Oryza sativa Japonica Group: one gene and its partners. The protein of the gene in region 4 interacts with the protein of the main gene of each other region in a pairwise test. Links are inferred from orthologs where the notes say so. Each region holds a gene or a part of one and is shown on either strand. Other genes may lie near its edges. The genes, in order: thioredoxin-like protein CDSP32, chloroplastic; two-component response regulator-like PRR1; protein indeterminate-domain 16; putative protein Brevis radix-like 3; FKBP12-interacting protein of 37 kDa; uncharacterized protein; histone-lysine N-methyltransferase ASHR3-like.

Region 1 (3,809 bases), on a different chromosome or scaffold from region 4:
TTAGACTGATTCAAGCCAAGTTAGAATAAACTCACACTTCAAGAGAAGAAGAGTTCATCATCTCCTACTTAGAACAACATCCACCCAATCTACATTGTAAACTTTATCACCCTCATTCATAACAAGAACACAAGAGTAGGGTGATACGCTTCCGAGCAGCCTAAACTTGTCTAAAAAGACCATATGTTCTTATTTGCATGATTCGATTGCCTCGTTTCCGCTCACCCATTCCATAGCCAAATCTTCCTTGGGGGGTGCCACTCCTCCCCGCTGAAGGAGCTCCATACAACCATTGATATACATAAATAAGGCTTGCCACCAATGCAACAAAACACTAAAGTGATTCTCTATCTATTTGTAGCCTGCCAATAGATAACTATTTTTTTCATATATCCCTATTAAAATAAAACAAATCATAGAGACGTGTGAAAGATATATGTGATATAATAGGAGGTCAATTATCAGAATCCTTAGAGATAATTTGAGATGAACCGTCTCATATTATGCCATTGCAACTACAAGTGCTCAATTATCACAAAACAAAATTTAAATCATTTTGTGAATGTTGCTATAATATATTTATTGAAACTACAGGGACCATCTAACATCCATGATGATCGGTTATTTCATAATTTTACAAGTAGGGATATTTAGGATTTGATACTCATAAAGGTGGCATTTCAGGATCCCAAAAAAAAACCTCCGTGCCTATGACATGGTGGTTGTTCTGATCCCACAATAACAGATGCGTGAGTGGTACATCCTAAATTGTAACTATTTATAGATCAAAAAATTCAAAATCCCTCTTTTAAGTAAGGAACTAGTTGTGATAATACATCACAATGGATTGAGAAATTTTTCACGCCTTAAGGGTGTCTCATCATTGATTCATTGTATCAAAATACATGCCAATACTAGTTATGAAAAAAAACTGGTAGCATTGGTATAATAAATATATGTCTACTATCCGAAGATTTGAGGACTAATTAAGTTCGACTCACAATGAGAAACATAAATGACAAATTCAAATTGTAAATATTGCACTATTCATGGGTATATATATTTTGCCTTCTTTTTCCCCCATTTAGTTGGTTGAGAGTCGTAGTAGATGCAATATAGTACTCTATATTGTTGATTTTTTTTCAGAATTTTTATCACTATTTGTCTTGTTTTTAAGAAGCAGAGCTACAACAGGGCTGGGATAGGGGGTAAAAATCCACTACCTGGTGGAATAACCTTCACAACAAAATCTGGGGTGACCCAATTGATGTTCTTGATCACAATAAATCAAAAATATCCAAGTTTACATGCATGCATGAACTCAATACCAGCCCCCAATTCTCCAAAAGTTGAAAAAACAAATTCTGACCATGACTATAAATTAAATGTGGGGGGAAAAAATCAGGGCTTGTGCTAGCTACCAACAAACCATGAATATATATTTCTAGAAGGGAAAAAAACAAGACAGGAATATTGACAAGGCGAGAAACCAACAAAAGTGCATGGGCAAAATAATCAGTCCCCCCCAACTTGAAAAATCTCAGCTGCTTGAAACCCCCCAGCCACAAACCCAATCCTGAACTAGTGGCTGTGTGGATGAACTCTGATTGGATTCCAGCTACTATTTGCCATCCATTTCTTGCTGAATTCTCTCTTCTTTAATTCATCCTCTCTTCTCCTCTTCTCCTTCATCACTAGGCAGTAGCCACAGTAGCCAGTAGCTAGCTAGCTTGTCAAGCTAGGAGCTAGCAGCTGTGTGTCGTCGATGGCATCCACCGCCGCCTTCCTGTCCACGCTCGCCGGCTCGACCAGCCTGGGCGGCGCCACGCCGGCCAGCGGCGGCGGGAGCGGGAGGAGCAAGACGGCGAGGTTCTTGAGGAGGCGGCGGCGCGGCGGCGCGGTGAGGGCGGCGGTGTCCGGCACGGAGCAGGCGCCGGAGACGACGAAGAAGAAGGGCGGCGGCGGCGGCGGCGGGGACGAGCGGGTGGTGCAGGTGCACAGCGCGGAGGAGCTCGACGGCGCGCTGCGGGCGGCGAAGGAGCGGCTGGTGGTGGTGGAGTTCGCGGCGAGCCACAGCGTGAACAGCAGCCGCATCTACCCGTGCATGGTGGAGCTGAGCCGCACCTGCGGCGACGTCGACTTCCTCCTCGTCATGGGCGACGAGTCGGACGCCACCCGGGAGCTGTGCCGCCGGGAGGGGATCACCGCCGTGCCCCACTTCACCTTCTACAAGGGCGCCGAGAAGGTCCACGAGGAGGAGGGGATCGGCCCCGACCAGCTCGCCGGCGACGTCCTCTACTACGGCGACCACCACTCCGCCGTCGTCCAGCTCCACTCCCGCGCCGACGTCGAGTCCCTCATCTCCGACCACCGCGGCGAGGGCGGCAAGCTGGTGGTGCTCGACGTGGGGCTCAAGCGATGCGGGCCCTGCGTGAAGGTGTACCCCACCGTCGTGAAGCTGTCGCGCACCATGGCCGACACCACCGTCTTCGCCCGCATGAACGGCGACGAGAACGACAGCTGCATGGAGTTCCTCCGCGACATGGACGTCGTCGAGGTGCCCACCTTCCTCTTCATCAGGGACGGCGACATCGTCGGCCGCTACGTCGGCTCCGGCAGGGGGGAGCTCATCGGCGAGATCCTCAGATACAACGGCGTCAAGGTCACCTAGACATATACAGATTCATCACTACGCAGCTCAGCTGCATGCAGCAACCGTAATTAAATTAATTACTGTACTACTCTCTTGATCATGATTGTAATTTTACACCACCACACTAGCTTGAGAAGATCAAGCTTGTTTTATACTGGGGACGATTTGATCAAACCTATCTCGTTGATTTGGTCCCGTGTAATACTAGAATTTTGGAACGTCAATTGCAAGTTCGAGACTTGATTTTGCCTATGATTGTATCTGTATCCATCCATCTATCATAGGTGGTGTTCTTATCTCTGAAGATGAAGATTAAGTTTTTTTACGCAAAACAAGGTGGTATTAACATATGATTGATTGAGTTTTGATTGTTACAAACTTAAAAAATAGATTAATATGATATTTTAGAGCAACTTTCATATAGAAAGTTGATCATCACTACTGATCGATGTTTTTACACTTAATGGGGACGATTTGATCACACTATCTCGTTGATTTGGTCCCGTGTAATAATACTAGAATTTTGGAACGTCAATTGCAAGTTCGAGACTTGATTTTGCCTATGATTGTATCTGTATCCATCCATCTTTCTATCTATATGATTGCCCAGTTAATTTATCTTCTGATTACCTTCTTTCTTAATTAATTACCCCATGTCTCAAAAAGAAGATAACAATGATCTGCTCACCAAGAGCAATGGAAGCCACAAGATGACCAAACAAGAACTGCTCACAGGTTTGCCAAACATTTGTCAAATGCCCAAACTGAATCTGAAGATATTTACAGGCTTCCATTTTCAGACGGAAAGAAACAGAGGGTAGCGTAGGGAAGCTGCCTACGCCGTAAAGAAAAGATCAACAGCAATGGCAGCTTGTCCTCCACAAGTTCACATCATCTCACAGCAAGTTGCTTTCACTTCCAGATCTTATGCACTACTTGCAGGTGGTAATGTCGGTCAAAAACTGGACAAAATTGCCTTCCTTGGTTTGCTCTGCTGACTGCTGGTCCTGGGATGTCATCACAAGGAAGCAATCCAGATCACTAGATTTACATAGTTGACACAAAAGGGTTCAGTTCAGAAACTGCTCAATTAGTGCATGCCCTAACGTAAAAAAAATGATCTTCTGTTCATTGGTACTGTTATAAATTAGCGGCT
Region 2 (4,604 bases), on a different chromosome or scaffold from region 4:
AAAAACGTGTCTAAGAAGGAGCACTGAGTAAAGTCCTATAAGATTCTGAAACAAGATGGTTACGATCTAGACTGGCCTATGCATCACTAACTAGCATAATTACATCTCACCTTCAAAGATGATTTTCTCCAAAACGTCCATAGTAACAGTGATGGATATGCCACAAGTTCCTTGGGGGACAAAAAGGATGTATTGTGTGTGAGCGAGTGGATGTATTGCCTAGTTAAAAGCAGAAGAAATGTATTGCCTACATCTAATGAGTTGCAAAGTGAGCAGTAATCATCTGCACTCTATTTTACATATAGGAAAACCTTTCAAACTACTCTGGAGAAGAAACCATCTCTACCTCCCTGGAGGATGGATCATCATCTTCATCTTCTGAGATATCATCTCCAGTGCTGGTTATATCTGTATAGTTTGCCTGTCTAACAAATTGCCCTCGCACCCTCGGCCTTGTTTCAGCAAGTTTCTTCCTATTCACGTACCTCACCTTCTTGTCAAAACAACGTTCCTTCCTTTTCAGCCTGAATTTGGCAAGTGCTGCAGCTCTCCGTTCAGACCGACTACATGTTTCCTCGGGCATTGGTGTGCTTGATGCCTGTGGCCACATATTTTGTGTTGGCAGTTGATTTGATTGAATGCTCATACCAGCAGGATTATACTGAAATGGTGGCATCATAGATACACCATGACATTGGGGATAAACATTATACTGAGGGAGCAACGTTTGTGGTGTATGCACTTGAGCGTTGTTTATGTTCCCTTGGAAATTTTGCACCGGAGGATGTGTCATACCGTGGTCCATCATCCCTGGGTAATAAAAGGGAAAATGATATACAGGAGGAGTTCCTGAAGCATCATTTTGGCCTTCATTGCTTCGCTCCAGATGCAAGTTAGAGGAAGAAAAGCATACCACAGGGTATTGCACTGGCATCTCAAAGGCTTCTTTATCCCGAATATTTACATCAGTGCCAGTGTCACTTCTGTCAGTTGTACTAGAGAAATTACCCCTGTGATCCGAAGAGTCTAACCGATTTCCACCTTTTTGTAGTTCGCTGTCAAATGAGCTGGTAGTTGGGGTGCTTGACTTAACATAAGCTAGAAAAGCAGAAGACTCAGCAACCCTCAAGTTAGTCTTTATTGGACGTGAAAACATTACTCCGGGAGATGCTGGCATAAAAGCAAAGGCATAAACCTTAGAAACTATTCTTCAATTGGGGGATCTGCTAAATCAGCTAAAGGAAATGGTTTAAGGCTCAAGATACTTACAAGCTTGGTCGCCGCCTTCAGTAGAGACTAGTAAACCCTCTGGTGTGCCTTTTTGTTTAGGCTCAGCATCAGAAGGATTAGACTGCAAACATATCAAGAAATGCAAGGGCATTTAACAAGTAGACTGATGCAAAAAATTCAGCATCTTATCATCATCAATTGAACATATGAGGCAAAAAGGCATGCTCTAGCATCTAAACAGAACACAAAGGTAGAAAGATACTAAATAGAGAAGTAGTATGTTGGACAGCAAAATATAAAAGGATAACTAGTACTTGATTGGTTACCTCATATTCATGTTGATTCGAGGTGCTTGTTTCTTGATTAATGTTTTCTTTTGGCTTATCATCTGTGTCATCCGAGAGAAGAGTGGTGCTGTTGGTATTGGCGTCACTAGGTTCCGATAACGCCAACTCGAAATTGTCATTGAAGAAGTTTTTCTCCGACAAACCAAGCTGCCAACACCAACATTCAACTTAAGATCAACTCATACACGCTACAGCAACGCCACAGCCATCTCAGCTTAGAGCATGCTTTTCAACACAGAATTTGAAGATGAATCAACATAGTCCCCTTTACCATCCGCCTTCGCCGCCACACATGGGTCCAGAGGTTCAGCAGCTCGTTCATGCGCAGTGGCTTGACCAGGTACTCGGCTGCCCCGAGACGCAAGCACTTGACAACAACAGAGACCTCGTCTCTGTTGGACATCACTGCATAATTCGCATCAAAGATGAGGATGGTCACTACAACAACCCTACGAGCATGGGCATCAGAGGAATAGGAGGACAGCTTACTTATGATGGGGATGTGGCGCAATTCCTTGTTCCTGGCGATGTATTTGAGCATCTTGAAGCACTTGGAGACGGGCAGATCGACCTCGGCCAAGATGATGTCGATCTCCCCCGCCTCGCAGTTGAGTACGTTGATCACCTGCCTCGGAGACTTGGCGCAAGTCACTGAAACAAAAACAAAGACGTATCATTCCATGCGAGAAGGTGTGATAGAACTGCTAATTCATCTACTAAAGCAATCTTAATCCTTAATTATAAGAGCAAACCAAATACTAAGCAGACAAAGCTGAACTGACCTTGGTATGAGCAGTTGCAGAGGAGGCGGAGCACCTCCCGTGAGCTACTTGGGTCGCTGTCGCAGAGCAGAATCCTCACCTTGCTCCGGTCCACGAACTGCTGCCCTCCCCCTACCGCCGCCCCGCCGCCAACGCGATCCCCCTCGCCGGCGCCCACCATACCCCGACCCGCACGGATTCCCCCCCTAGCCACTTGTCACCAGCTGCCGACGCGTCCGAATCAGCACGAACAGCACAGCAGCCAGCAGCAGCTGCCGGCGCCTAGACTAGACGACGCAGGAGGACGAAGCGGTTGTTGGATCTGCGGGCGGCGCCTCCTCCTCCATATCCCGTGCCGTCGCCAGTAGTATCGCCCCCAGAGGCTAAGCAGTGTGCTACCGCCGCCACCCGCCGCCGACGCCGGCGGCGTCCTCCTCCGCCGCGCGTTGCGGTCCGGCCCGCACCATTATCCGCGCCTAATCTATTCAGGAGGCGGCGGCGGTGGTGGTGGCGGCGTTGGTGTCCGCTCTACTGGCACAGGATATTTTCCTCCCCCTACCTTTTGCTTTCCTCTCTCGGTGGGGCACGCGGCTCGGCTCGGCTCGGCTCGGCGAGAGATGAAAGAAAGAAGAAAAGGCCTCGTCACGCCGCGCCGGGGCGGTGTAAAAATAAACGAAACGGCTCGTCGCGAGCGGTTTGTGTCGCGTACTCGCGTCGCGCGGTGCGGGTGTGCGTGTGCGTGTGCCGGTGTCAATGGATTCGTCACGGGACGGGACGGGACGAGCCGCGAGCCGCGGCCCCGTGGGTGGGAGGGCCAGGTTGGATGGAGGGGAAGAGCCGGGCGTGGTTAAGCCAGATGGGCCCGGCCTGGCGGCGTGTGATTTCGGTGAGAAAATATCTACGCCTACCTGGCACGGAAATATCTTAATCGCGGATGCGATTAGGGGCGGCGGGCGTGGTGGGGCCGTGGCCGTGCGATACGGGAGCCGCCACGCGCGCGAGCTGGGGGCCAGCGAACGAACGCCAGGGAGACGCGCTACTGTAGTAGTACTGTGGAAACGACGACGCGAGAGGCGGAGGGAGGTGGTGCCGTGGTGGTGCCGTGGGAGTGGGAGCGCCACGCCCACGTACGTGCGGCGGCGTCCACGGTGGCCGCGTCCCCGCCCTCCGTTGCGGATCACGACGAAAGCCGCGCCAGCCCACCGCGGACGTGCCAAGGCGGAGAAAAATCCAGAGGGAAACGCGGCTCTCACGTTTTCACGTAGTACAGACCTTGATGGGCAGCATGGCGATACGGTGGTGGCTGGGCTGATGAGTAAAAGATTTTGAGCTACCGGACGAGACGAGTGGCCGGTAGAGAGCAGCAGCTGGATGGGGGGTGTTTTTTTTTTCCCCGTGTTGGCAACTTGGGATGCCCATTGCCACTACGCCGATCCGGAGAGCGACTGGTCGTGGACTTGTGGTGGCGGCTCGTGGCGCCGGCCTAGCGCTTTTTCTGTAGCTTTGCTTTTCTTGTTTGCCACTGGCGATGTACGTGGTGGCCTCCGGGCTCCGGCAGCAAATCAGCGATGCTGCAAAATGGGTTTAGCGTTAACAGCGCTGTCGTTTGTTTACTGATCTGTTACCAGCGCTGTAATTCAGTAATTCAGCAGAATGGTAAACACAACCAAGATTTTTGATTGCAGCTCTGAACTATGGCCAGGCAAAACAATCATTTTGACGAAGGGTGTTTCCTCCAGTTCACTGGCTGTATTTCTTCCACCGAGAGGAGTGGATGGTTGGTATCAGTGACGACACAACAACATCTCGATCTCAAAAATCTGGAGGCAGGCTGGCAGCCAGTAGCAGGAGCTTGGAGTGCCGATGTCATCAGTCTCATTCACAGGACGCACTAATCATATTTATTGCTACCAATGAAATCATACAAAATGAGTTATTAGCTAGAGTAGTGCTGCATACAGGCTTGAAAGTCACCCAAAGCTACTACTATCAGCAATAAGTTGTTCTGACAGTGGAAGTCCCCATATATATTCGCCTTTATTCTATGACATTGACACACCACAAACACGTTTTGGCAAAGGTATTTATCTACAGGGAAGGAGTGGCGATTGCTCCTGCCTCCGTCAGCAGAGGGACCAAGTTCCCTCCTTTGTGCATCGCCATGGTATCTGTTTGAAAGACATCAATGAAGATCGACGTTAAAATAGTGTAGAAAAACTCTGGCCTAAGTGACCCTTGTTCTAGCGATTTTCTTGTTCAGAAAAAA
Region 3 (4,778 bases), on a different chromosome or scaffold from region 4:
CTCCGTAATGCACTAATGCTGTCTCAGGAAAGTCCAATGAGAAGCAAACAACAAAAAGATTCCATGCACGTCACGATTAGCAAGCCCTGCTTAGCTTTCCGGCCGGCAAGACACAAAAAACACTAGCTAGCCTAGCAGCATATGCAGCGTCTAATTACACCACACGATCTCGTCGTCTTAATTTGCTGGTGAAATGGAACGTACAAGAAGAGATTCGATCAGAGGTAGACGAAGAGATGGCGCGTTTCGCGAGCTAGCTGGGCTGGACTGGATTCTTCTTTGGCTACATGATGCCCATGCTGTTAGCGTGCTGTAGGCGACGCCGCGTGGCGTCGACGACGTCGAGGGGATCGTCGGCGTCGCCGCCCTCGGTGACGACGGAGGAGACGTAGCTGCAGGCGACGTCGGAGCTCATGGCGGCCGGTAGTGGCGCCCCCGCCGCCGCGGCGCGGAACTTGTGGCGGCAGCTGAAGCAGGTGATCTGGAGCAGCGTGGCGTTGACCTGCCGCACGGCGTGGTCGCGGAGCGCGTGGGCGCGGCTCAGCTCCACCTGCGCCTGGTGCCGCATTCGCCTGGCGGTCGCCAGCTCCTGCTCGGCGAGCTCCACCTGCCGCCTCGCCTGCGCGCGGGCCTCGCCGGCCGCCTCCTTCTCCGCCATCGCCTGCCGCAGCTGCTCCCGCGCCTGCTCCTTCGCGGTGGCCGCGGCCGACGCCTCGTCGCTTGTCCCAGCCGCGCCCATGACCTCGTCACGGCCGATGGAGAGCTGCAGCTGCGTGGAGGCGTCGTTACACTGGGAGACACCCGTCGGGTGATGCTGATGCGCCGCCGCGTAGAAGCACGCCCCCATCCCGCCCGGAGCGGCGGCGGCGCCACCCGCGTTGAACGGCGGCATGAGCTGGAGCTCGAGGTTGTGCGCGCCAGCGCCCCCGCGGTAATGATCGTACGACGGCGGCGGCGGCGACGGCGCCATGTCGAACCGGCCGCGGAAGGCGGCGGCCTTGGGGCTCGGCATCGAGGGCGCCCCGGCCCCGGGCCAGGCGACGGGGCTGGCAACCACGTCGCTGGACGGGCTGGTGCTCGACGCGGTCCGCGACAGCGACGCCGCCGCCGGCGCCTGCAGGTCCAGCTGCTTCTCCTGCTCTAACACCGCTACGCCGCCGCACGCCGCCGTCGACACGTTCCCTCCCTCCGCCACCGCCGCCGCCTGCCCGCGGCTGGCATTGCACGTGTCCTGGTGCTCGATGAAGCTCTCCACCCTGCTCACATCAAACAAATCAAACAGCACATCAGTACGTACACAAACTCGAACGGGAAAGAACGCATCGACGAAGCCAACAACGGCGAGCGAGACAACGAGACCAGGGAGAGAGAGAGAGAGAGACTTTATTGTATGTGAGAAGATTTCAATCGATTTATGTCGCTGCCTGCACAGGGGTCCAAACTCCAAACTCCAAAACGATTATTTGGATCTACGTAACGTGAACGCCGGCCTGTGTTGCATGCGCGCGCAAAGTTGCCAAGCACGGAGAACGCCGCCCTTTGAGTTAGCTTAGCTTGTCAGGACTCAGGCGGCGTGCGAGCTAGTCTGCGCCACTCGGCGCCCTCTCCCGCGCATTGATGCCGCGCGCGGCAAAGGCAGGCGAGACACGCGCGGACGCGCGCGCCGAGCGAGCCAGCCAGAGACACGAGCGGAAGCAGCCGCGCGCTGCTGAAACAAATGCGCGAGCAGGTGGTGGACGCGCGCACTCGCTACTCGCTCACTCTGACGCAGAGCGTGGCGTTTCCCCTCGGGAATTGCGCACCGATCCGCCACAATCATGGCCCCGAAAAAACATCCCAAAAAGAGAGAGAGAAAACTTTGAAAAAAGCGAACCGAATCAAGAACTTGCAAACTACTAAAGAGAAGGAGAAGAAATAAAAAAACGTTTTTACGCGGTGGAAGAGTTGGGTTTACCGGGAGAAGACGCGGCCGCAGTCGCAGGAGTGGCCGCGGGTGCCGCAGGTCTTGAGGTGGGCCTTGTAGTCGGAGTGGACGGCGTAGGCCTTGGAGCAGCGGGCGCACGCCCACTGGCGGTGGCCGCTGTGCTTGCGGCGGAAGTGCTTCTTGATGCCGACGAGGTCGCCGAGCGCGTGGGACGGGTCGTGGTGGAGGCACGTCGGCTCCGGGCACACGAACACCCGCTTCCTCGCCGCCTCGCCGGCCTCCCGCTTCAGCAGTTTCCACGGCACCTTGTGCCGCCGCCGGTGCATCTGCAGGTTCTGGTCTCGCTGGAACCCCTGGTTGCAGATCTCGCACACGTACCGGTCCGACTCCAGCAGCGTCCTCGGCGACAGCGACACCACCTCCGCGTCCGGGTCTGCACCACCACCGCCGCCGCCGCCGCCGCCAAGCGCCGTTTGGTTCCATGCACCAGCAGCAACCAACGAAGAACGAACCCATCCATATCATTTTTACCATGGCCATTGCCGCGCCACACAATTGCATGCAACAAATCTATCCTGCCAACTACTACCAATAATAATTGGATGTACTCGCATGATGATATCTGGGGCGGCGCGTCTCGGCGCTTAGCTTAATTACCTGGCGTGCCGGCTGGCCGTCGCTTCTTCTTCGCCGAGCCGGCGGAGGCGGTGGCGATCTGCAGCGACCGGAACGGCTCCGGCGTGGTCGCCTCGTCCGGCGGCGGCCCGGCCGTCGTCGGGGCGCAAGAACCCAACATGGCGGCACAGGAAGAGGCAAAATAATCCCTCTTTTTTTTCCTGTTCTTGTCTGATCACAAACTCTCAGACGATGTGAACAGAATGCATTGCACTCGTTCGTTCTATATAGAGGACGATGAAGAACAACAAGAGATCGATAGGCAAAACAATAAACTGGAGGGAATGGGAGTACTATAATATACTACTCCTACCACCATGAGCTTGCAAGGAATCAACAAGATGTGAGAGAGGGAAGAAGGAAGAAAGGGTCTTGGAGTTGGCTTTTGTGGGCTGCTACAGAGACAACTCCAAAGGAGGAGAGAGAGAGAGAGAGAGAGAGGAAGCAGCTTTCCACCGGCTTTAGGTTTTAGCAGCTTTCTTTGGGGTTATATGGGGAGGAGGAGGGAAGGAGAGCTAGAGTTGGTAAGTACTTCTGAGGGTTGTGTCTTAATTGCCTTTCAGCTAGGACAGGAGGGACTGGCTGGCATGCATCTCAATAAATAAAGGCATTTTTGGAGCAAGGAAAAGGAGTTTACACAAACACACAATGATCCTATAGATATGGGTGAGGATAGATGGATGGATGGGTGCATAATGGATAGATGGTGTTTGGGTAGGAGGATTAGATGGAAGCTTGCAATTGTTGGCTAGCTAGCTAGGAGTAGCTATTACCAAGTCAGTATGCGCAAAACAACAAATGCTAGAAAGGAAAAAAAAAAGCAAAGAGAGAAAGTATACTAATACTCTGACATTGGACAATTGTTTGAGCCTTTGAGGTATCCTTTTCAAGGAAGAATCTGAGATGGCAAAACTAACTGCTACATCAGGTATTAAAGTCATGTTAAGTAGGTTAGATTTCAGCAAGAGAATTTAATCTCATACTAAATTACAAAATGAGGTAATTCCTTTGTGCAGCATGTGCAGTGTGCATCAGGAATTGTGTCTATAAAAGACGGTGTTGCCACAAGGAACTGTATCCCTGATAGTTTTATCTCCTGATATTTGTTAGTGAGATGAATTAAATAATTAATTTGGCTGTTTTGGTTCCACGAAAATGTACTAGTGCACTGTAAAGTACTTAAAAGTGGCCACTGTAAAATTGTTGCCACAAGGACTTTTAGGTGGGTAGATCCACGTGCATGGCTTGTACTAATAATATATGTGATTCATAGCGTATGTACCCCTACATACTCCTATTATAATTAAGTATTTATGTTCTTAAGGCCCTGATTTAATTAGTCTTTTTTCTCACATCGTGATTAGCACCAAGATTATGCTAACTGGATCTTTGTCATTCTCCTAGAAAGGATTCGGTCGAGCCTGGAAGGAGAATGATTGATTTTGGAAGCTTATTGTGCATTTGATTATTAATCGCCCTGTTTGTCTGATTAAGATAGCGTACTCAACGATGCCAGTTAAGTAGGAGTATGTTTCAGCTGCTAGGCTCCAAATGGAGTGTTTTCTAGATGTACGAGATAAAGGATGCATATGGCCAAGTACGTACTGTTTGATCGTAGTGGATCTAAAATATATTCATCGACATAGTCGTATATATATATAGAAAATACAACCGTATTCATAAACAAAATAGAAAAATGAGTTATGTTTTTAGAAAAATGAGTTATATATAAATACACACATATATACTGCTTTAACAAACATTAGTGGTAAAGCGAGTGGTGAATCTGCCACTGCCCCAACCAACTCTCTCTAATTTTTTGAAGGTAAAAAAATGAGATAAGTAAGTGATAGCAAAAACAGGTTGATGATGTCCCTTTTTCAAATTACGTCGCAACACACAGGTAATATATATTAGCTAGTATTTTCAAACATTTTCTGGCAACTGACTTTGTCTTTTACTAGTATTAAAGGAAGGTCTAGCCGGTAAAAAAAAAAGAGTTGTTTTTCTTTGGTCTTTACTGATAGCAGAATTAATCAATGTAAATTAATTATATTTTTTAATCTAGTGGAAATGTATTTGTACTACCACCTTAACTACTAGTAATGGAATATATTTTTGTGTGATAAAACTCATAAATCAATGTTTAAGTTCATTTCTACCGATAATAATGTTGGTA
Region 4 (4,519 bases):
CATTGCTGGTAAGTAGAGTACTGTACTCTCTCTCTCTCTCTCTCTCTCTTTTTTGTGACATGGGTAAGCAGAGACAGAGCACTAGTGGTATACTACTGTACAGTCTCAGTGGTCGTCCATCTTGGCTGCCACCCCTGGTCTCCCCCTCGTCTATTAACTGCTGCTACTACTATCTCTTCCTCATACAGACAGAGCTAGTAGCATGTAGTAGTACACTCTATATACTGCAGTACTGATGGCAAAGTAGCAGGTGTAAATTCGATCCAGGAGTAGCATGTACGAGAAGAAGTTTAGATCAAGACGAAGAAGAAGAAGGGACAGACGGGTACCTGTGAGGTGAGGGACTTGACGGCATCTCTGCCGTGAGGCGTGGCCGCGCCACGGGACCCGTCCTCCCCGCCTTCCTTGGAGGAGCACGCGATGCATGCCAGCATCTTCTCTGACCCCCTCTCCCTATCTGCCTCCCTCTCCTCGATCGACGACGACGAGACGGATCAATCAGTAGTCAATCGCTCCCCCCACAATCTCACCTTGTGTATCGAACTGCAAAAGTGTGTGCATTAGCGTTACATATATAGTACTACCACAGTACGGCTATCTATCAGAATTGAAGCCGCTGTAACGAAAGATCAAGTTTGATCAGACATGCCGTCATGTAGACACTACAGCCCACGGCTACAGTTGCATGCATGCATGTGATAGAATGTCTATCCATGAGATGGTCAAACTTTGTCGTTGTTCGCATGGCAATAGTACACTTAGTACATGTATAGTACACATTTCCATGATAATTAAACGAGTGCGAGATTTCGTGTATCCACGCACACGTATGTACGACCAAAATAAATACACGCCGAAAGTACGTACTCCTATCAAGTATCAACAGTGACACTATCAGTCTAGTATCCTCTAGCCATAGCCACAATCTACAATGTACTGTAATAACGTAAAGCGGTTTCCAAGCCGGTGTGTGACGCCATTCTAGTACCACACACCATTTGGACCAGACGTGCCATGCCATCCTTGCATCTCACATGTAAGCACGCGAACACGACATCCGGTACACTATGCGAGCACAGAGCTATCCGGCCGGTCCGTGACCACGCACACGTGCGCATGCGTGTGCGTCGGAGGAGCTGTCCTTCCGGCTCGTTGAGCAACAGAGAGCAATGCAAGCATGCGTATGTACGAGAGATAGCTATAGCTAGGGACTCTGGTCTCTGGAGCTTCAATTCGCCACCGGCGTCAAAACGGGGCAAGCTGGCTGGCTAGCTGGTGCAGTGGAGCACTGGAGCCTGCAGCGACAAAAAAGTATAGCACCAGCATAACAAAGCAAGCAAGACCCATGCCAATGGCAGCATCACAGTCGTTCACAGCTACTCCTGCATGCATGGCATGCATTCGCAGGCTGCTCTAACACAGTGGAAGAAACGCTACGCGGGGCAAAGCAGATCGATCGACGGGCACAGGCACAGAGATTCTTTAATCGCCATGCCACATGACACACACACATATACTACTAGTAAATCAAAACTGAAAAGCAGGTTGTAGTAGTAAAATACGGTCAGCTACATTGCGGCAGGGAAGCTTCTGATGTTTACGCGCACATGGAAATTTATTAACCACCAGTGTGCTATGGCTAGCTAGCTCCGCCCGTTTGTGTATGTGTTGTGCACAGTGTTCATGCAGATGAGGCGCAGCTACCCACGCGAGGTAGGCAGGGGCGTATGGGGAAGACTCCAAACGACACCAACAGCAGTAGCTCGGTGGACGAGGCAGGGAGCCGCTCAGATGTGTATCAGCTACAGTCACTGCAGCTGGGGCCCCACGCCCTCCCCCAGATCAACGTACTGCCTGGACTTTATTTTTTTTTTCCTCCTGCTCCATCCCTACCGAGAAAAATATGGGCCCCGGCTAAAGCGACCGGCTATCGAGTGACTGCATTGTGGAGCCCGGTAGGGTTTTTGCTGATTATCTTTTGCGCTTTTTTAATAGAAACACGACGTGATAACCTTAAACACGGTATTGTGTGTGTTTTCTTTTGGCCGGTGGTAGTAATTTCTTTTGTACAGTAGTAGTATCAGCTAGTAATTAATTAATGTTGCTGTAGAGGGAGAGAGAAATGAGAGGCACAGTGAGAGTGATGAGATGATGCTTACAGGTAACTGACGGCCCCCAGATAGCTACGTTAGCCACAGCTCTCTCTCTCCTCCGAGTTTGCTCGCCGTGTAAACAGTGTGCGTACCCAAACCACCTACGCGCGCGCTGACCGGGTTGCTCCGCCTCCTCTTCCTCTCTCTCCGGCGCCTGAAATGATGCAGACAAAAATGTGCCAAAATAAATATGTATACGCCTAGAAGCGAGAGCGGGATGCAAGGAGAAACGGCCTTTTATTTTTGACACCAAGATAAACGGACTTTGACTTTCTGGTGAACAGAACAGGGTAAGAAACGGCATGCAAGACGAGAAAACAAAACATAGAAAAAGTGTAACTCAACACACACACACACAAAAAAAAAGCAAAGCAAAGATAAGACGAAGCATCAAGCAAGCTGGTTGCGTGCGTCGCCGTCACCACCATTACCTTCTCCTCCACGTCGCCGGTGAGCGAACGAGCGCAATTTGCAGCCCGCCGGTCGGCTTCACCTTCGCCGCCCTTTCGGTTTCGAGCTCTGCCTCTGAATCGACTCAGAAGCCTTTGGAGATAGCACAGAGAGAAAGGCCTCCCTTGTCTGGTCGAGGAGTGGATGCGGCTGCGTCAATGGCGCCAAACACAGCGGCGGCAAAGATATCAGAAGCTACGCAGCGACGCTGTCGCCGCACAGAAACAATCTGGGACTGAGTGGGAGATTCCTCTCGCAGTCGCAGGAGAGAAGAGCCACGAAGCGAGAGAGAGAGATCGAGGTGGGGAGGGAGAGAACACTGCGGGCGTCGCGCTGGGCCGTCGGATCCTTCCCCCATATACGACGAGAGGGCGCCGAGTGCACAGGCAGTGCAAGCCGTCTCGTTTCCGGCCCATATATAGTCCCTCCCCCACGGGACACGCGGCGGTCCCCGCGAGATCGCGGCCGTCCGATCCTGCGCGGCGTGTGGTCATCTCCCTGGTCCTGGGCTGGGCCCCACCTACGGTGATTCGCTGCGGGGCCCGCGAAGGCCCGGGCCCCGGCACGGACCGTGGCGATGACGAACGTGCTGCCGTGGCGCGATCAGGACCGTGCGATGTGATGCATATGCTGACGGGGCTTTGTCATGATCGAGGACCGTCCGATCTTGATGGCGCAAAGTACGTCAGCGTGTGCTTGCAAGCCCAATAGGCGAGTAGCCCATAGCGACTGACGGAGCGTGGGGCTCCTCACCGGGAGACCGCGCTGGTCCCCTTTTGCCGGTTCGGCCGGGGACCCTGGGTGAGACTCTAAGCTCCCAATTTGTGGAAGGTTCGCGAGACAGGAAACACACAAGACGCCGGCGATGTATACAGGTTCGGGCCGCTGAGAAGCGTAATACCCTACTCCTGTGTTTTGGAGGATCTGTGTATGAAGGAGCTACAAAGTATGAGCCAGCCTCTCTCTTGTTCTGGGTTCCCAATCTGGAAAAGTCCAATCATCCCCCCTCTAAGTGGGCAAGGTCCTCCTTTTATATCTTAAGGGGATACCACATGCACCATCTCCCCCTCTCTTTCTTCCAATTTGACTTCTCTTCATTAACAGACGGAGATTTGCATCGCCGCCGTCCGAATGACCTTCTGATGGGACGGCCCATACCTACCTCCACTTCCGCCGGAGGCAGGCGCGACGTGGGAAGATGGCTGTCTGCTGATGACTTGACCATTGTCAGACCGGTCACAAATCGGTCATTCTTGTCCACCACGTGTCAGTTTAACAATCTGCATGTTCGCCCTTCTTCATACAATATCTTGCCTGTAATGGTTAGGATGAAGCCTGGCATATATCTGACCGGAACCAACGTGCCATCTCCAGGAGCTAACACGCCGGCTCCAGCTAGGGACGAGTGCTTGGAGGCTCTCGTCCTGACGGGATGGGGCGAGGCGTGCGTCAGACCGCCTGTCGCCACCTAACCCATGATCTGACCGGTCTGTGACTGGTCACAGACCGGATAAACGAGCGTGCTGTACTGCGATACAGGCGGCGTGACGCGCTCGTCAAAACTGCAATAAATGTGGTTAGGTGAGCCCCGCCATGCTCACCTACCCCATATACGTGGCGCAAAACCCACAAGGGGTCGGGGCGCTTCGGCCCTCGGGGCCGAGACGGGAGCGGCCCGACCCCTTGGGGAGACAAAGAGAAGGGCAGCCGTATCACCCTCGGGCCCGCCCCCCCCCCCCCCCCGAGGGAGTTAGGCCACGTGGGTGATCGTGTCTGCCTCAAGTCTCTAAGTCATGATACTCCCGGTAAAGAGGAGGGCGAACACATCACCCTCGGGCCCGACGCCCCCTGACGGTGCCAGGTCACGTGGGCGATTGTGTCTGCCTCAAGCCTCTAGTCATGATACTCCCGGTCCC
Region 5 (4,041 bases), on a different chromosome or scaffold from region 4:
TGGACCGATTGCTTGTCGTGAGTCATGACGACCAGTTCATCAGCTCTTCGGTGATGTGTCTCCAGCAGACTCACGTCCATCGCCGGTACCATTGATCCCCATCAATCCTCAATCCTGCATTCCTGCTAACAGGAACCCTCACCGGCATAATGCAACCATGGCCGGCGGAGTAGACGCAACGGCTTGCACGCACTAATTGATGTGCAGAACCGCGGAGTACTGTTGGGAGTGATGCAGCGAGGGGCTCCACGACTCATCTTGCGGCGTTGTGATTCCTTTTGAATGCAGATACTGCCAGTGAATCAAGAAGCCATTTTTCCCCTTCTTTCTTGCAGTACACATGTACAACCAGATTAGATTATACTCCATCAGTTAGTTTCCTACAGAAAGAGTATTAAGTTATCATTCGCTCGGTTGTTGCCTCCACGGTTGGCACCGGCAGATGGGCACCAGTACGACCAGCACCAGCCAGCAAAGCAGCGGGCAGAGGCTAAGGTCACCGCCGGCGAGACCTAGGGTCCGGACTGGTTGATCTCCATGATCTGGAGATTGGCTGAGCCATACAAGTCGACGTTGATGGCAAACAGAGAAAATTGACGGAGTGCCAAAAATGAGAACGGAAGAAACATTAGGATGCTATTAAAGTGAACAAGTAACTTTTGGTGCTATAAAACCAAATTTATGAACTTTCATTGCTCTAAAACCAATTTTGCCAATTTTTAATGATGGGATTCTGTAGACTAAAGAATGCAAAATAACTTCACATCCATTCTGTTTGATACTCACTGTAAGGGAAGAAACTTCTCCCCTTCTTTCCATGCTACTAATATTAAGCGTAAAATTCTTGTCTAATGAAAGATGATCAAGCCATCAGCTCTAAACATCTGTTTTCCCATATAGGCATTCAACGCTTTATGAACCTCAATAGTTCCTATAGTTAAGGGCTACACGCTAGTATAAAATTCACTACATTGTGCAACCAATATTAAACAGGAGGATGAATTAGTCTAGAGTTGAAACAATGTACGTAGTGAGCTAAGAATATAAAGTAGTTGTCCAAATTAATCATCAATGGGCAAAATGGGAAGAAAGGATTATAAAGTACTATCTCTATCCTTTATTATTTTTTGACGTTGGTTAGTTCAATTTGATATCTATACTACTTAAAATGTTAGTAGTGGTGGTGTCTGTTCTGCTACATCACCTCTACAACTGACATTTTTGGTCCGTACAATCTATACTATAAACCACCTTCTAGCGAGTCATCTCCTATTTCACTGCTGATTCTTCCCAAATTTCAAAATCACCTACTCGTTCAATAAGGAAAATCATAAAAGTACTATCTGGACTACATATGTGCTTAATTAACTTAATAAGCTAGAAACTCAAATTGTTTTCCGTTGCAACGCACGGGCTTTTTGCTAGTTACATAAAAAAGCGGAGGGAGAATATATGCATATTACATAACATACCATTGAACTGATTCCTGAGTTCATTGTTCCGAGTCTTCAAAACTGCAATTTTCATTCCAAGTTCATGGATCTGTACCCAAAAATTGTTTTAGAATACAATGTTACAAGTAGTAGGATCAAAAGCCTATCATGCTTTGATGATAGTGATAATAGTGAAAAACAGGTGCAACTATATATATGCTCAAGGTGGCGGACATGCATGCAGGGGGTGGAGGAGAGTGGAAATCAAATGCAATTATTTCTCATGTAATATGTTCGTTGTTCCATGAAAATAAGTAAAAATATTTAGCTCTTTCAGGTGGCAATATGGGCTTTCTGCTCAAATTGTCTCCTTTTCCTTCTGCTTGGACAAGGAGAGATATTCAATATTTGAATCAGATTGGATTTCATTCCACTTTCCTATTTCTCAACAACAACTTCTCTCATCAGCTATTTCACGTTCCTAAAGAATGAGAAGACAGGTTATATTGGGTTAAGTCTATAAGAGGCTTACTTTTCCTTCAGAAGCCATCGCCCCAATCTCTTCATTTTCCTCTTGCAATGTTCTACACTTGGCCATTAGCATTTTCCCATGTTTACTGGATGGAGTAAAATTGACAGCAGCAACATTGTCCTGTAGTTCCTTGATCTTTTTCTCCTTCTCCTCCACAAGATTCTGGTAAAAAAAAAAAGCAAGTTCCAAGATTGATGCACAAGTACAGTTACTTGCATTAGACAGTGAGCCTAGAAACTGTGCTTTAGCTGTTTAGGCCAAGAAAAATAACGCAATTATTATTCACCCCAAAATTTCAGTCATACCAAATTAAGTTGTCATAGTCATGCCTACTACACCCAGTAGACAATATGATCAAAATACCACATTGCTCCCTTACCCAAAACAAAACAACTGGTCACTTAATGCATATTTTTATTCTGAGAAATATAAATACATTATTTTTGCGACATATGCATGCAGTGTGATGAAAGGCGAAGTTTTGTACCCTTAATACACAATTAAAGAGGATTATAGTCATTGGTTCAAGCAATCCAATAATTGCTTTTTCTTAATTTGTGTCTAGCTATTAGTGCAAAAAATTGCACAAAGATACAGCACAAATATTTAGTTTTGTAAATCTCGCTAACCTTTAATCGTGTAAATTCCTCGTGGATTGCTGGATCAAGCAATAATCTCCTTGTCTGTTCATCATACAGAAAAGGGCATTAAAACAAGTTATCTAAATTGTCAACAGAAGGGAAGGCATTATTAAGAATCATGCTTGTAGGAGATGGACCTTATGTTTAATTGTATTATTCGTTTCAGTGCAATTATTAATCTTATATGAATATAACACTTCAGACTATTACAAGGAGCTCAAGATGTTGGGATTAGAAAGTAGTCTGGCAGTTTGGCACCTGACTAGCACCTCACTAAACATGTTACATAGTAACAAATAGGAATCCTCTTTACTTGGTAAACAACTACAGGTGTGCGTTGCTTGTACATGTCAGATTGTCAGTGTTCCTGTAATATGCAAGTTTAAACAGGCCACCAGATTGACTATGTAACATGTACCCATTAGCCATGAAAGTGTTGCACTAATGGGAGCAATCAACCAACTTGTTACAGATGATCTAGTAATCTACAAGGTATTCTTAGGGACAGAATGTTTTGGAATGATATCTTAATTAGTTGGAAGGATCAAACTGGTTTGTTAGCATCCACATCACATCATTTCTATGAACCAAGATGATTAAGAAGTAAATTCCTGTTTGTGCCTATCTCCCTCTCCTAGAGGTTTTCTCCTCCAGCCACTGTCACTTGGCTCAATGCAGCATGGTGCTTACCCCATATAACATTGCAACACCATATGACATGTCACACAGTTCTCATTTATAATTCCCATTCTTTTGGGTGAATGGTCAGACGAACAGATTCAAAATTAAAATGGCAGAATAAACAAATAGATCATGAAATATCCCATCACAAAAGGAATATCCAGAAAAGACAAAACAAAGAGAAGACCGTGAGCAAAGTAGCAAAGCTATAGATATAAGTTGAGTGGGGTGAAGAACAACACCTCAGCCATTCCATGTAAGCTGTGTGATATGCATCACAAGCATGTAGAGACAAGAATTCCATCGGAGTAACAATATATGCAAATGTGATAATAAGGTTGTTTTATGTTAATATACTGTTCTACTATGTACTTAATAGGTCTTGGATTAACTATTACATGAAGCAAGGACAATGTGTAAGTGCATAGATCAAAGAGAGGATTTTGGAAGATGAATTCTGTACAGTTACATCATAGACATGTATCACAGCATGCTAAGAATTGGTATAGAAGATGCCAAGTGCATGCTACCAAAATATTGAGAATTATCACTATTGAGGCAAACTAGGATGATGAAAAAGCTCAAGGACAAGTACAATATAGCACATATTTTTCTATTCAAGTCTGTTTCTTTGTATCAATGAAGATAACACTTACGAAAGCAACTCTATAATAATAAGCATCAAAGTTTGGAGAACCAATAGCACAAGCAATTTAATGGTTACCTGCATCGATGGTGGCCTTAATTGAGTTTT
Region 6 (4,604 bases), on a different chromosome or scaffold from region 4:
GAAGGCAGGTTGCGACCAATGTGTTTGAGAAGGTTGATGGCAAATGGTTCATTTGTATCCACCATGCCTCTCACTTCGATGAGTGAGGCTGAATTTCTTGGAGAGAGGAAGAGCTGCAAGTGCAGATATGGCGTGAGGTTTTGCAGTACAGGCGTGAGACATATACTTCGCTGTTTTCTTAAGGTCCTTGATATGACCTTTTTGTAGAACCCTTTTTGTACCAATACTATCATCGAATGATGCTGCTATTTTGAGGAGTATTAGTAGTAGGTACAGACAACCAGAACCCTGATGGAATTGTAACTCGGCGTGGCTGAGATATTCGTCAGACTGTTAAGTCCCTTTTCCTACTGTTGTACGCTGCAATCTATCCGCGTGCAGATGTATTTTGCCAACAGATTTTTGCCGGTTGTTACAGCATCCAACCTGTTCATTGCTTTAGCTAACGTCGATTTGATGATGAAACTCCCCAAGGCTCGTGATCAGGGGCATCAAAAAGAATCATGCACATTGCAGGAAGCTGCAGTTGTAGGGGTTGCACAGGTTGAGCGACAATCAAACAGATTTTAAGAAAAACTCCAATGAACAAGATGAAATATGGAACCCTCGCACATCCATACAAACACACTTGCAAATATCAGCTGATATAGGAAATAGCTGCGAGTTCAGTTATTCTCGTCCAAGCAAAAATAGTACAGCTTAAGTTCAGGACACAGGATATGCGCAAACCAAAAGTACTATTTCAAGAGACATACTGATCGAACATTCATGAAAAGTATGTAACGCTTGCAGGGAGTAACAAAATTAATTTGGCCTTGGTGTTGCCCACTCAACACGAAGGATAAGGTTATCATAACCATAACCATTGAGCTTGCTGATAGCCTTCTCAGCGTCCTCTCTGTGAACAAAGTTGACGAAGCCGAACCCCCTGCTTGCTCCAGTCTTCTGATCCACCGCAACGTAGACACGGCTAACTGGACCAAATGTGCGGAATAGCTCAAGTAGGTCGGGTTCACGGGTGTCCTCTGATAGATTGGTCACACGGACAGAGTTCTCATCATTCCTACGCCTCATGTCATGTCCAACCCTATCAACAGCACCAGACCTCATGCTTGGAGGAACATATGCTCCCTTCACGGCGCCACCTGGAGGTCCAGAGCCATCAGCAGTGGGAGGCCTGTCCACAAAAGCTTCTGTCTGGGGAGCTAGATCCTTGTAGGGGCACTTTGAGGTCCAGTGATCACCCTTCTTCCCACAGGTTCTGCAAACCATGAGAACTGCACCACTCTTGCTTGCCAGTGGATCACCAGAAGCACTTGGTTCTTCAGCTTTGCTCCCTAAAATTAAATGAACAGTTAGCAAAGAAGAAGACAGGCATACACATTTACAAGACTAAAGCAAAGTTAGCTGAGCCTTTGGGGAAAAAAGGGAGAGGTTCTTCAGCTTTACTCTATAAAATTAAGTGACAGTTAGCAAACAAGAAGACAAAGGCATAAACATTTACAAGACTAAAGCAAAGTCAGCTAGTATAGATCATTTGGAACAAAAAAAATGAAGGATCTCAACAAGGCTGCACTCCACTAAGAAGATTTGTGTCGATGCATTAGAAGACCAAAAGCATTGGTTATAACAAGCATAACTAAATGTGACGATACTATGTACTTCGAAGATCAATTTGGTATAAGGACGACTGGACGAGGGCATGCACCCATGATAGATATCGAATTACCTATGCATAATTCTTGAACAACAAAACTAAAGATACAATGCCACTGCAATATGAAAATTCTATCATCAGACAATACGCATGACTAACACACCAAACCACAATCAATTACACAATACGCACATAATAGGTATTCACAAAAGAATTGTTTTCCTGATCCACCACTATCCAGTATTTTCAACACTTCTCTTAGGAAGAATAAAGACGTGTTAATCTGCATTATCGATGTCCCCTGTCTCAATATTCGATTAAAAACAACCGCAGCTTCTCTAAAGATCTAACTGAAACTTTACACTCAAGTCCAAAAATATTAACTTTGGACTCTTATTAATTTTCCACTCAATGTTAAAAATATTCAACCCCAGAATCGCTTCAAAATTAAACAAAACTTCAAATGACATTCTTGTGTCACCATAATTACCCATTTAAATACTCCTTTCAATACATGCAGATTAACTGCTCCTATAAAGCTCAATGATTAACATTATTGCACATTTCTTTCTACCTAGATGTGTGCCTGCAAATGATAAAACTGAAACCAAGCAAGCAAGAAAAATTATAACAGAGTCCTGACGTATGTAGTGTTCAAGGAAAGCAGCACCAGCTGTTTCCTAAATAGATCACCAGCCTCGATTCTATAATCTATCTCACATAGAGGAATAGACAGCACGAAACATTCCAATACATCGTGTCTAGTTCTGATGAAGATCGCGCACAACGATAAACAAATAATTCGATTCGAGAACACGTCAATCGACGCAGATCTGGACAGGAAGGGGGATGCACAAGAACAGTGACAACCTGGGGCGCGTGGGCGCTCAAGGACGATCTCCTCGGTGGACACCATGGTGAGCCGCGCGCCGACGTCCTCCTGCACGGCGTCGCCGAACTTGGGCCACGAGCGGCGCTCGATGGCGCTCTTGGAGAGGCGGGCGCGGGCGATCTTGCGGACGCGGAAGGTCCTGGTGACCTTCACCTTGTTCCCCTTGTCGTCGAAGCGATACTCGACCACCTTCTTGAACCCATTCTCGTCGGGCCCGGAGACCACGCGCGGCGGGAGCAGGAAGTCGAGGTCCCCCTCGTCGTCCTCCTCGAGCTCTCCCCACCTGATCTTCTGCGTCGCCACCTCCACGGCCATGGCGCTCTCTCCTCTCTCCGCTGCGTTCGCTAGGGTTTGCGGGGGCGGCGGCGTGGGAGGGAGAGAGTGGGGAAGAAGACCTCGGCGTAGGAATGGAAATGGAACGAGCGGCTCGGATCGTTTTGTGCGCCCCGATCTGTAAGGCGGTATCCACGTTGATGGGCTTTTTAGTCTACGGGCCGGATAAGTTAGGCCTCAGAGACATTCTATTGGGCCTAGTAATATTAGTGTTCTCACTAATTTGGATTTGTACACACATAACCAACCACCAACATTCAACCATGCAACTTCCTCAAAATATTATAACTGATGAAACCATTGATTCAACAAAATATCACACTAATCCAACACTATAGTATGAAACATGCAAAGCAGATAGTAGTAAGTATAATACTATGTTATCCCTCCGTTTCATATTATAAGTCGCTTTGACCATTTCTCTAGTTAAAACTTCCTAAGTTTAACCCAGTTTATAGAAAAAAATTAGCAACATCTATGACACCAAATTAGTTTCACTAAAACTAACATTTAGCATTTACAACTCAAGTTATATTTTTTCTATAAATTTAAATCAAACTTAATTTTTTATCTAGAAAAAATCAAAGCAACTTATAATATGATTGAAACGGATGGAATAGAAAATTTTAGTGCTAGTAAAGGCTAGTTGGGCCTTGGAGCAGCCCACTCGACATTAAGGATGAGGCTATCGTAGCCATAGCCATTGAGCTTAGCGATGGCCCTCTCGGCGTCCTCCCTGTAGACGAAGCTGAGGAAGCCGAACCCCCTGCTCTCCCCGGTCCGGTGATCCAACGCGACGTACGCGCGGGTGAGCGGGCCGAAGCTGCCGAACAGCTCGCGGAGGTCTTCCTCGCGGGTGTCCTCCGACAGGTTGGTGACGCGGACCGAGTTCTCGTCGTTCCTCCGCCGCATTTCCGACTCCCTCGGCTTCGGGGGCACGTACTTGCCCGGCCGGGATCCGCCGCCATTGTCGCCGCCAGAGTTGGGAGGAATATTGTTGTCGACGAGAGCGTCGAGCTGCAGAGGGGCGAAGTCCTTGTTGGGGCACTTGGATGTCCAGTGCTTGCCCTTGGCGTTGCAGATCCTGCAAACCATCAGCGCGGCGCCCTTGTCCAGTGCGGGGATGAGTGGATCTTCCGATTTGCTCCCTGCAGTGTAGAACAGTTAGCGAATAAAGATTTGCATGCAGAATTGGGTGTATGTTTAGAATTTATATTCCTCGGATAGATATTCTATACATGAATAGTTTAAATATCACACTGTATTTTTAGAACGGATCGGAATTGCTACAAAACTTAGTATCCCTTTTATGTCGAAAAGAAAAGGAATTAGTATATCCTTTGTTCAGTCTCAGATATACTACATGGCCTAGTCTAAATAGATCTGTAACACGTATCTATACACGGCTAACATGAAAAAGACAAATTCAAAAAAAAAAACGATCAATCCATTGTTGCAGATTGATCTAGCAAAGTTGCAATTAACGAGCAACGTATATACGTAGTACTAGTGAAGAAGAGACTACTGCTATACCTGGTGCGCTTGGACGCTCGAGAACGATCTCCTCGGGGGAGACCACGGTGAGGCGCGCGCCGGCGTCGTCGTTGTGCGCGGCGTCGCCGAACTTGGCCCAGCCGCGGCGCTCGGCGGCGCGCTTGGTGACGCGCGTGCGCGCGACCTCGCGGACGCGGGTGGTGGTGGTCACCCGCACCGCTTTCCCCT
Region 7 (3,967 bases), on a different chromosome or scaffold from region 4:
CAGCCAGACTATTCATATAGTACTAGTATATGCTATGACCAATGTTCTTTATTATCTTGCATATATTCTGAATAAAAGGGCTCTAGGTGGTCTGCTTTGTCTGCCACAGTGAGCAAAATGTATCCGAATATCAAACTTTAATGTTGGGAATATAATACAAGTCATTTTATAATAATGTCGGCATTGTCACTCCCTTTGTTTGTTCCGGTTGTGTGGTAGTATTCTGGTGATGGTGGGAGGCGGGAGGCGGCACATTATTTCTTTGTCAAGATGCTTGTTTTTCTTCCCTTGTGTGATGGATGATAGGTACTTCTTGGCATGTCTATTGGACCGTCAAAACATCTTGCGTATTGGATTTGCATGGGAATCTGATTCGAGTCGATTGAGACTGCATTTGTTGCTATCAGGCAATGAATTGAGCACTTTGTACGCTGATTTGATTCTGTGTACGAACACTACGGCAATTGGCAAATATGACTTCTGTTCTGCACCTATCACTGTTCTGCACCTATCAGTGACCCAAGTGGTTCTGCAACAGGGACTGAGACAGGTACCCCTGCTTTGTTGATTTGATCTATTTCAAATGCAGTTACTTTCCACGAAGAAATGCTTCAGTGTCAATCTAGAAATGTTGAGTGAATGAATGTTGAAATCTGATATACTCTTCTGTACCAGTGCCTTCTCCGTGTTTCTGATATTTTGTCACTAGCCAGAAGGAATGTGTCAAAATAATAGTATAAGATTCTCTAAGACAATAATAGCCCTCATGTACTCGCCTCAACTTGAGGGCTGAGGCAATCGAGAGTTGGAGCACAACATTGATTACATGAGATAGTCGAGTATTCTCAGCGAACAACTGTAAATTAAACAAACTATGTAATCAAATGAATATTGTAACAAATTACAACAGGGAGTTTTGGTGGTGGTGGGGAGGAGCAATGCAAAAGAATCGTCGTTCAAAAATCAATTTCATGTGAGAAATGTGTCATCCTATATTATACAGATGAGAAGCGACTTCAGCTATTGCCACTTCATGGCAAAGCGGGCAGGGATGCAGCAGCAGCAGCAGCAGCAGCTTCAGTAACTGACGCTTGTATGCTTGTTGGAGATGTAACGGCAACGGCTGATCTCCTCCTTTTGCATCCCCAGCATATCCGGTGTATTTTCCGTTTGCTTCTCAAGTTAAATGGTACCTCTATACAGTTGGTCCAAGGTAACAAATGTGTCATCGGTTTGTGTCTTGAAGCAGAGGTGTCCTGTTGTATCTTCAAAGATTCAAGCCACTCGTTCTCCAATGCTGCAATTGCGAGAGCACGCTGCGTAGGATTCTTTATTTGGTTGCCCAGGTAACCTTGACAATTTTGTGCCCCGCAATAGCATTTAACCTTCTCCCCGAAATGCACAAACCTGAAAAGGAACGTGAACTATTGTTACTGTTGCTCATAGAAAATCATTATTATTCACAAGACTCCTGGAAGAAAAAAAAATCTTTCTTCGTGTGGGCTGGGAGAATAGTCACCGTTTCAACGCTCCCACATAATAACGGTATTTTAATCTAATACAAATGCTAATTGGTTTCATAAGAAAATAACAGAAAAAAATCGTGGTGTTTCTGCTACCGAAGCATGATTTGGAAATTCACCATCTAGAAGAGGAAGTGGGAAGCAAGTGAACAACGTTTGAGTGGAGGAGAAAAGATAAGGAGAAGATACTCAAAACGAGGTGAGCCATTAGCATACAACTAATTGAGTATTAATTATTTAAACTTGAAAATGGATTAATATGGTTTTAAAAGTAACTTTCGTATATATGTTCTTTGCACCAAAAAAGCACCGTTTATTAGTTTGGGAAGCATGCGTGCAAAAAACGAGGTAAATTTTCTCTCTTTCTTGCCGAGTCATTCACAGAGCCCATAATGTGGATGTAAAAGCTACATGCCACACAATAATAGTACAAAGGTTCTAGTTCACACACCAGAATTTACATATGTACATATACTCCACTAGATATGCATATATTTCAAATCATGGTTAACCATAGCTGATTGCAGGAAAGCAGTTTCTCTATGCAGGAACTATATCTCCATATCAAAAGAATGTATTCATTATACCTTTTTCAGTAAGAATACTTAGGATCCTTAAAAATATAGTTTGAAAAACTATTGTTTGCACATACCTGTAGTCATAAGTTAAGTGTTCTCCAACTTGGATGGAACGAGAGGCGAAAACACCAACTCTTGTCTCACCATCAACTTGCCTGGACAAGCCACATAGACAATCAGGAACATTAATCATTTCATACTGTTCACAAACACCGAGTACAGAGCTTTTCTGTTCCAAAAAGATGGCATTACCATTTTTCTAATTTACAGTTGGGATCACAACTGTGGTTCAGAAAACGTGATGTGTTTCCTTTAAATGTTGCATCTATTGTAAAATCTTTGCTGATTTCACACATGTAGAAATTTTTATCACCTCGCCGTTTCATGTCCCAAAGCCTTTGTTCACATGTTGCATCATTGATGACTGGAATAATGTTTAAAACACATTAGAAAAGCATTTGAAAAGAACAGATGAGCATAGCATTAAGTTGTTGTAATTAGTTATAGAGAGAATAGCTAAGAGCCTTTGAATCAAACCCAGAAAGATATAATACGATGCTATCCCACAGCGCCATAAAACTCAACTAAAAAACAGTGAAGGAGACATACTCTGTCCCAAAATGGAAGCATTTCTTGAGAAGTAGGTTGAATTAAATGGGGAAAGGTTGCGATTGGTTGAGCAGAGGAAGTAGGTGAAGAAATTAAATGGAGAATGGTTATGATGGGTTGAGATGAAAAGGTAGGTAGAGAAATAGCTACATTTTAGGATGCACTTTGACTGCTAGAAATAGCTACATATTAGGACAGAGGGAGTAATAAAATAAAAACCACAAAGAGCTAAGGTCACAAGAATAAGTGGCAACAAGAACTGCCATTGTTCATAATTGTAGGCTTCGTAGCTATGTTATGTTATAAAATAGAGTGGGAACAAAATGTACACTCGTTATCCAATTTTCAGATTAATATAATAAGTTTTCATCTAAAGCTGAGGTACCTTTTCTGTTAAACAGATGCAATGACTAAACAGGCTTTTTCATGCTAACTACCAATAAGTTGCTTCAAATTTATCTTCAGGAAATATTCATGTCAAGAAATTTGGATTGTACTGTAATGGCATAATGTGACTCCACAATGACATGCATACAGTTTACTAAAGAATATGCTAATTTGTATAATATAAGTTTAAATGGTAGAGTAACTTGTACCTTCACCAACATACTCAATTATAAAATCACCTTTTTCCAATGGCTCCAATGAAATAGCACCCCATCCACAACGTTTTGTCTGTACAGAAAAGTAGTTGCTGCAGTTACAGACTTATTCTCCCTAACAAATGAAGAATGATGGTGCCCGGAGGTGTCAACAGAAGGTGAAAGTAATCTACATTTGATGGCATGACAACTTCAAACAGCACTATCATAGCCATATGCCATTTTACATTAAAGAACAATACAAAGGAGGTTTGTGGACTTGAATACTTTTGAGTCGTTGGCACAATACTTCTGTTATTAGATATCATCAACGTTTGAAGCTCAGTTCCAAGTTTAGGTAAAATTCAAATAATGTAATCAGTAAGTTAGTTGTTCCATGATGATACAACTTGTAGCTAAAAGCACAGGCTCTTCGACAAATGAGGAACTTGACAAATTTGAAAAGTTACGGCAGATAATATCACAGCATGCAACTTTATATGTATGCCGAAAGAGTTACACAGGTAAGGAAGAATGTAATGGTAATTGATGTCCTTAACGAAATCAAGAAAAAAATTGCAGGACATAATTACCTTGACAGCTTTTATTTTTTTATCCTTGCGGAATGGCTTGTTCGTACACATATCTGAGCAGTGGCAATTCTTGGAACAACTCA

The links.
Region 1: the proteins of putative protein Brevis radix-like 3 (region 4) and thioredoxin-like protein CDSP32, chloroplastic interact in binary tests that used the Arabidopsis thaliana proteins (3 or more experiments, as listed by UniProt). The link is inferred for Oryza sativa Japonica Group from reciprocal best matches to the Arabidopsis thaliana genes BRX and CDSP32.
Region 2: the proteins of putative protein Brevis radix-like 3 (region 4) and two-component response regulator-like PRR1 interact in binary tests that used the Arabidopsis thaliana proteins (3 or more experiments, as listed by UniProt). The link is inferred for Oryza sativa Japonica Group from reciprocal best matches to the Arabidopsis thaliana genes BRX and TOC1.
Region 3: the proteins of putative protein Brevis radix-like 3 (region 4) and protein indeterminate-domain 16 interact in binary tests that used the Arabidopsis thaliana proteins (3 or more experiments, as listed by UniProt). The link is inferred for Oryza sativa Japonica Group from reciprocal best matches to the Arabidopsis thaliana genes BRX and IDD14.
Region 5: the proteins of putative protein Brevis radix-like 3 (region 4) and FKBP12-interacting protein of 37 kDa interact in binary tests that used the Arabidopsis thaliana proteins (3 or more experiments, as listed by UniProt). The link is inferred for Oryza sativa Japonica Group from reciprocal best matches to the Arabidopsis thaliana genes BRX and FIP37.
Region 6: the proteins of putative protein Brevis radix-like 3 (region 4) and uncharacterized protein interact in a two-hybrid assay, tested with the Arabidopsis thaliana proteins (2 studies listed by BioGRID). The link is inferred for Oryza sativa Japonica Group from reciprocal best matches to the Arabidopsis thaliana genes BRX and EIF3G1.
Region 7: the proteins of putative protein Brevis radix-like 3 (region 4) and histone-lysine N-methyltransferase ASHR3-like interact in binary tests that used the Arabidopsis thaliana proteins (3 or more experiments, as listed by UniProt). The link is inferred for Oryza sativa Japonica Group from reciprocal best matches to the Arabidopsis thaliana genes BRX and SDG4.

Annotation. Positions count from the first base shown.
Region 1 is NC_089041.1:17,432,667-17,436,475, forward strand, and holds thioredoxin-like protein CDSP32, chloroplastic, read left to right. Parts: upstream 1-1,583; 5' UTR 1,584-1,765; coding exon 1,766-2,671; 3' UTR 2,672-2,985; downstream 2,986-3,809. UniProt on the Arabidopsis thaliana protein: Probable thiol-disulfide oxidoreductase involved in resistance to oxidative stress. May participate in the reduction of alkyl hydroperoxides derived from oxidative stress by acting as a physiological electron donor to the BAS1 peroxiredoxin.
Region 2 is NC_089036.1:25,050,559-25,055,162, reverse strand, and holds two-component response regulator-like PRR1, read right to left. Parts: upstream 3,146-4,604; 5' UTR 2,520-3,145; coding exon 2,360-2,519; intron 2,229-2,359; coding exon 2,067-2,228; intron 1,983-2,066; coding exon 1,849-1,982; intron 1,725-1,848; coding exon 1,557-1,724; intron 1,352-1,556; coding exon 1,270-1,351; intron 1,171-1,269; coding exon 320-1,170; 3' UTR 48-319; downstream 1-47. Other genes in the region: glutaredoxin-C4, chloroplastic, read right to left, coding at 4,427-4,506. UniProt on the Arabidopsis thaliana protein: Controls photoperiodic flowering response. Component of the circadian clock. Expression of several members of the ARR-like family is controlled by circadian rhythm.
Region 3 is NC_089043.1:21,201,219-21,205,996, reverse strand, and holds the start of protein indeterminate-domain 16, read right to left. Parts: upstream 3,082-4,778; 5' UTR 2,721-3,081; coding exon 2,582-2,720; intron 2,358-2,581; coding exon 1,955-2,357; intron 1,257-1,954; coding exon 284-1,256; 3' UTR 1-283. UniProt on the Arabidopsis thaliana protein: Transcription factor regulating starch metabolism by binding directly to the promoter of QQS. The IDD14beta isoform attenuates the transcription factor activity by competitively forming heterodimers with reduced DNA-binding capacity.
Region 4 is NC_089038.1:30,808,832-30,813,350, forward strand, and holds the start of putative protein Brevis radix-like 3, read right to left. Parts: upstream 2,992-4,519; 5' UTR 2,585-2,991; intron 2,308-2,584; 5' UTR 2,160-2,307; intron 544-2,159; 5' UTR 435-543; coding exon 330-434; intron 1-329. UniProt on the Arabidopsis thaliana protein: Acts as a regulator of cell proliferation and elongation in the root and shoot. Regulates roots architecture and primary root protophloem differentiation.
Region 5 is NC_089040.1:16,713,640-16,717,680, forward strand, and holds part of FKBP12-interacting protein of 37 kDa, read right to left. Parts: coding exon 4,012-4,041; intron 2,649-4,011; coding exon 2,595-2,648; intron 2,128-2,594; coding exon 1,966-2,127; intron 1,543-1,965; coding exon 1,473-1,542; intron 1-1,472. UniProt on the Arabidopsis thaliana protein: Probable regulatory subunit of the N6-methyltransferase complex, a multiprotein complex that mediates N6-methyladenosine (m6A) methylation at the 5'-[AG]GAC-3' consensus sites of some mRNAs.
Region 6 is NC_089036.1:33,987,897-33,992,500, reverse strand, and holds uncharacterized protein, read right to left. Parts: upstream 2,959-4,604; 5' UTR 2,865-2,958; coding exon 2,528-2,864; intron 1,338-2,527; coding exon 805-1,337; 3' UTR 629-804; downstream 1-628. Other genes in the region: uncharacterized protein, read left to right, coding at 1-86; uncharacterized protein, read right to left, coding at 3,525-4,030, 4,416-4,604.
Region 7 is NC_089036.1:24,530,835-24,534,801, forward strand, and holds the end of histone-lysine N-methyltransferase ASHR3-like, read right to left. Parts: coding exon 3,885-3,967; intron 3,386-3,884; coding exon 3,307-3,385; intron 2,526-3,306; coding exon 2,354-2,525; intron 2,257-2,353; coding exon 2,176-2,256; intron 1,408-2,175; coding exon 1,032-1,407; 3' UTR 720-1,031; downstream 1-719. UniProt on the Arabidopsis thaliana protein: Histone methyltransferase. Involved in stamen development.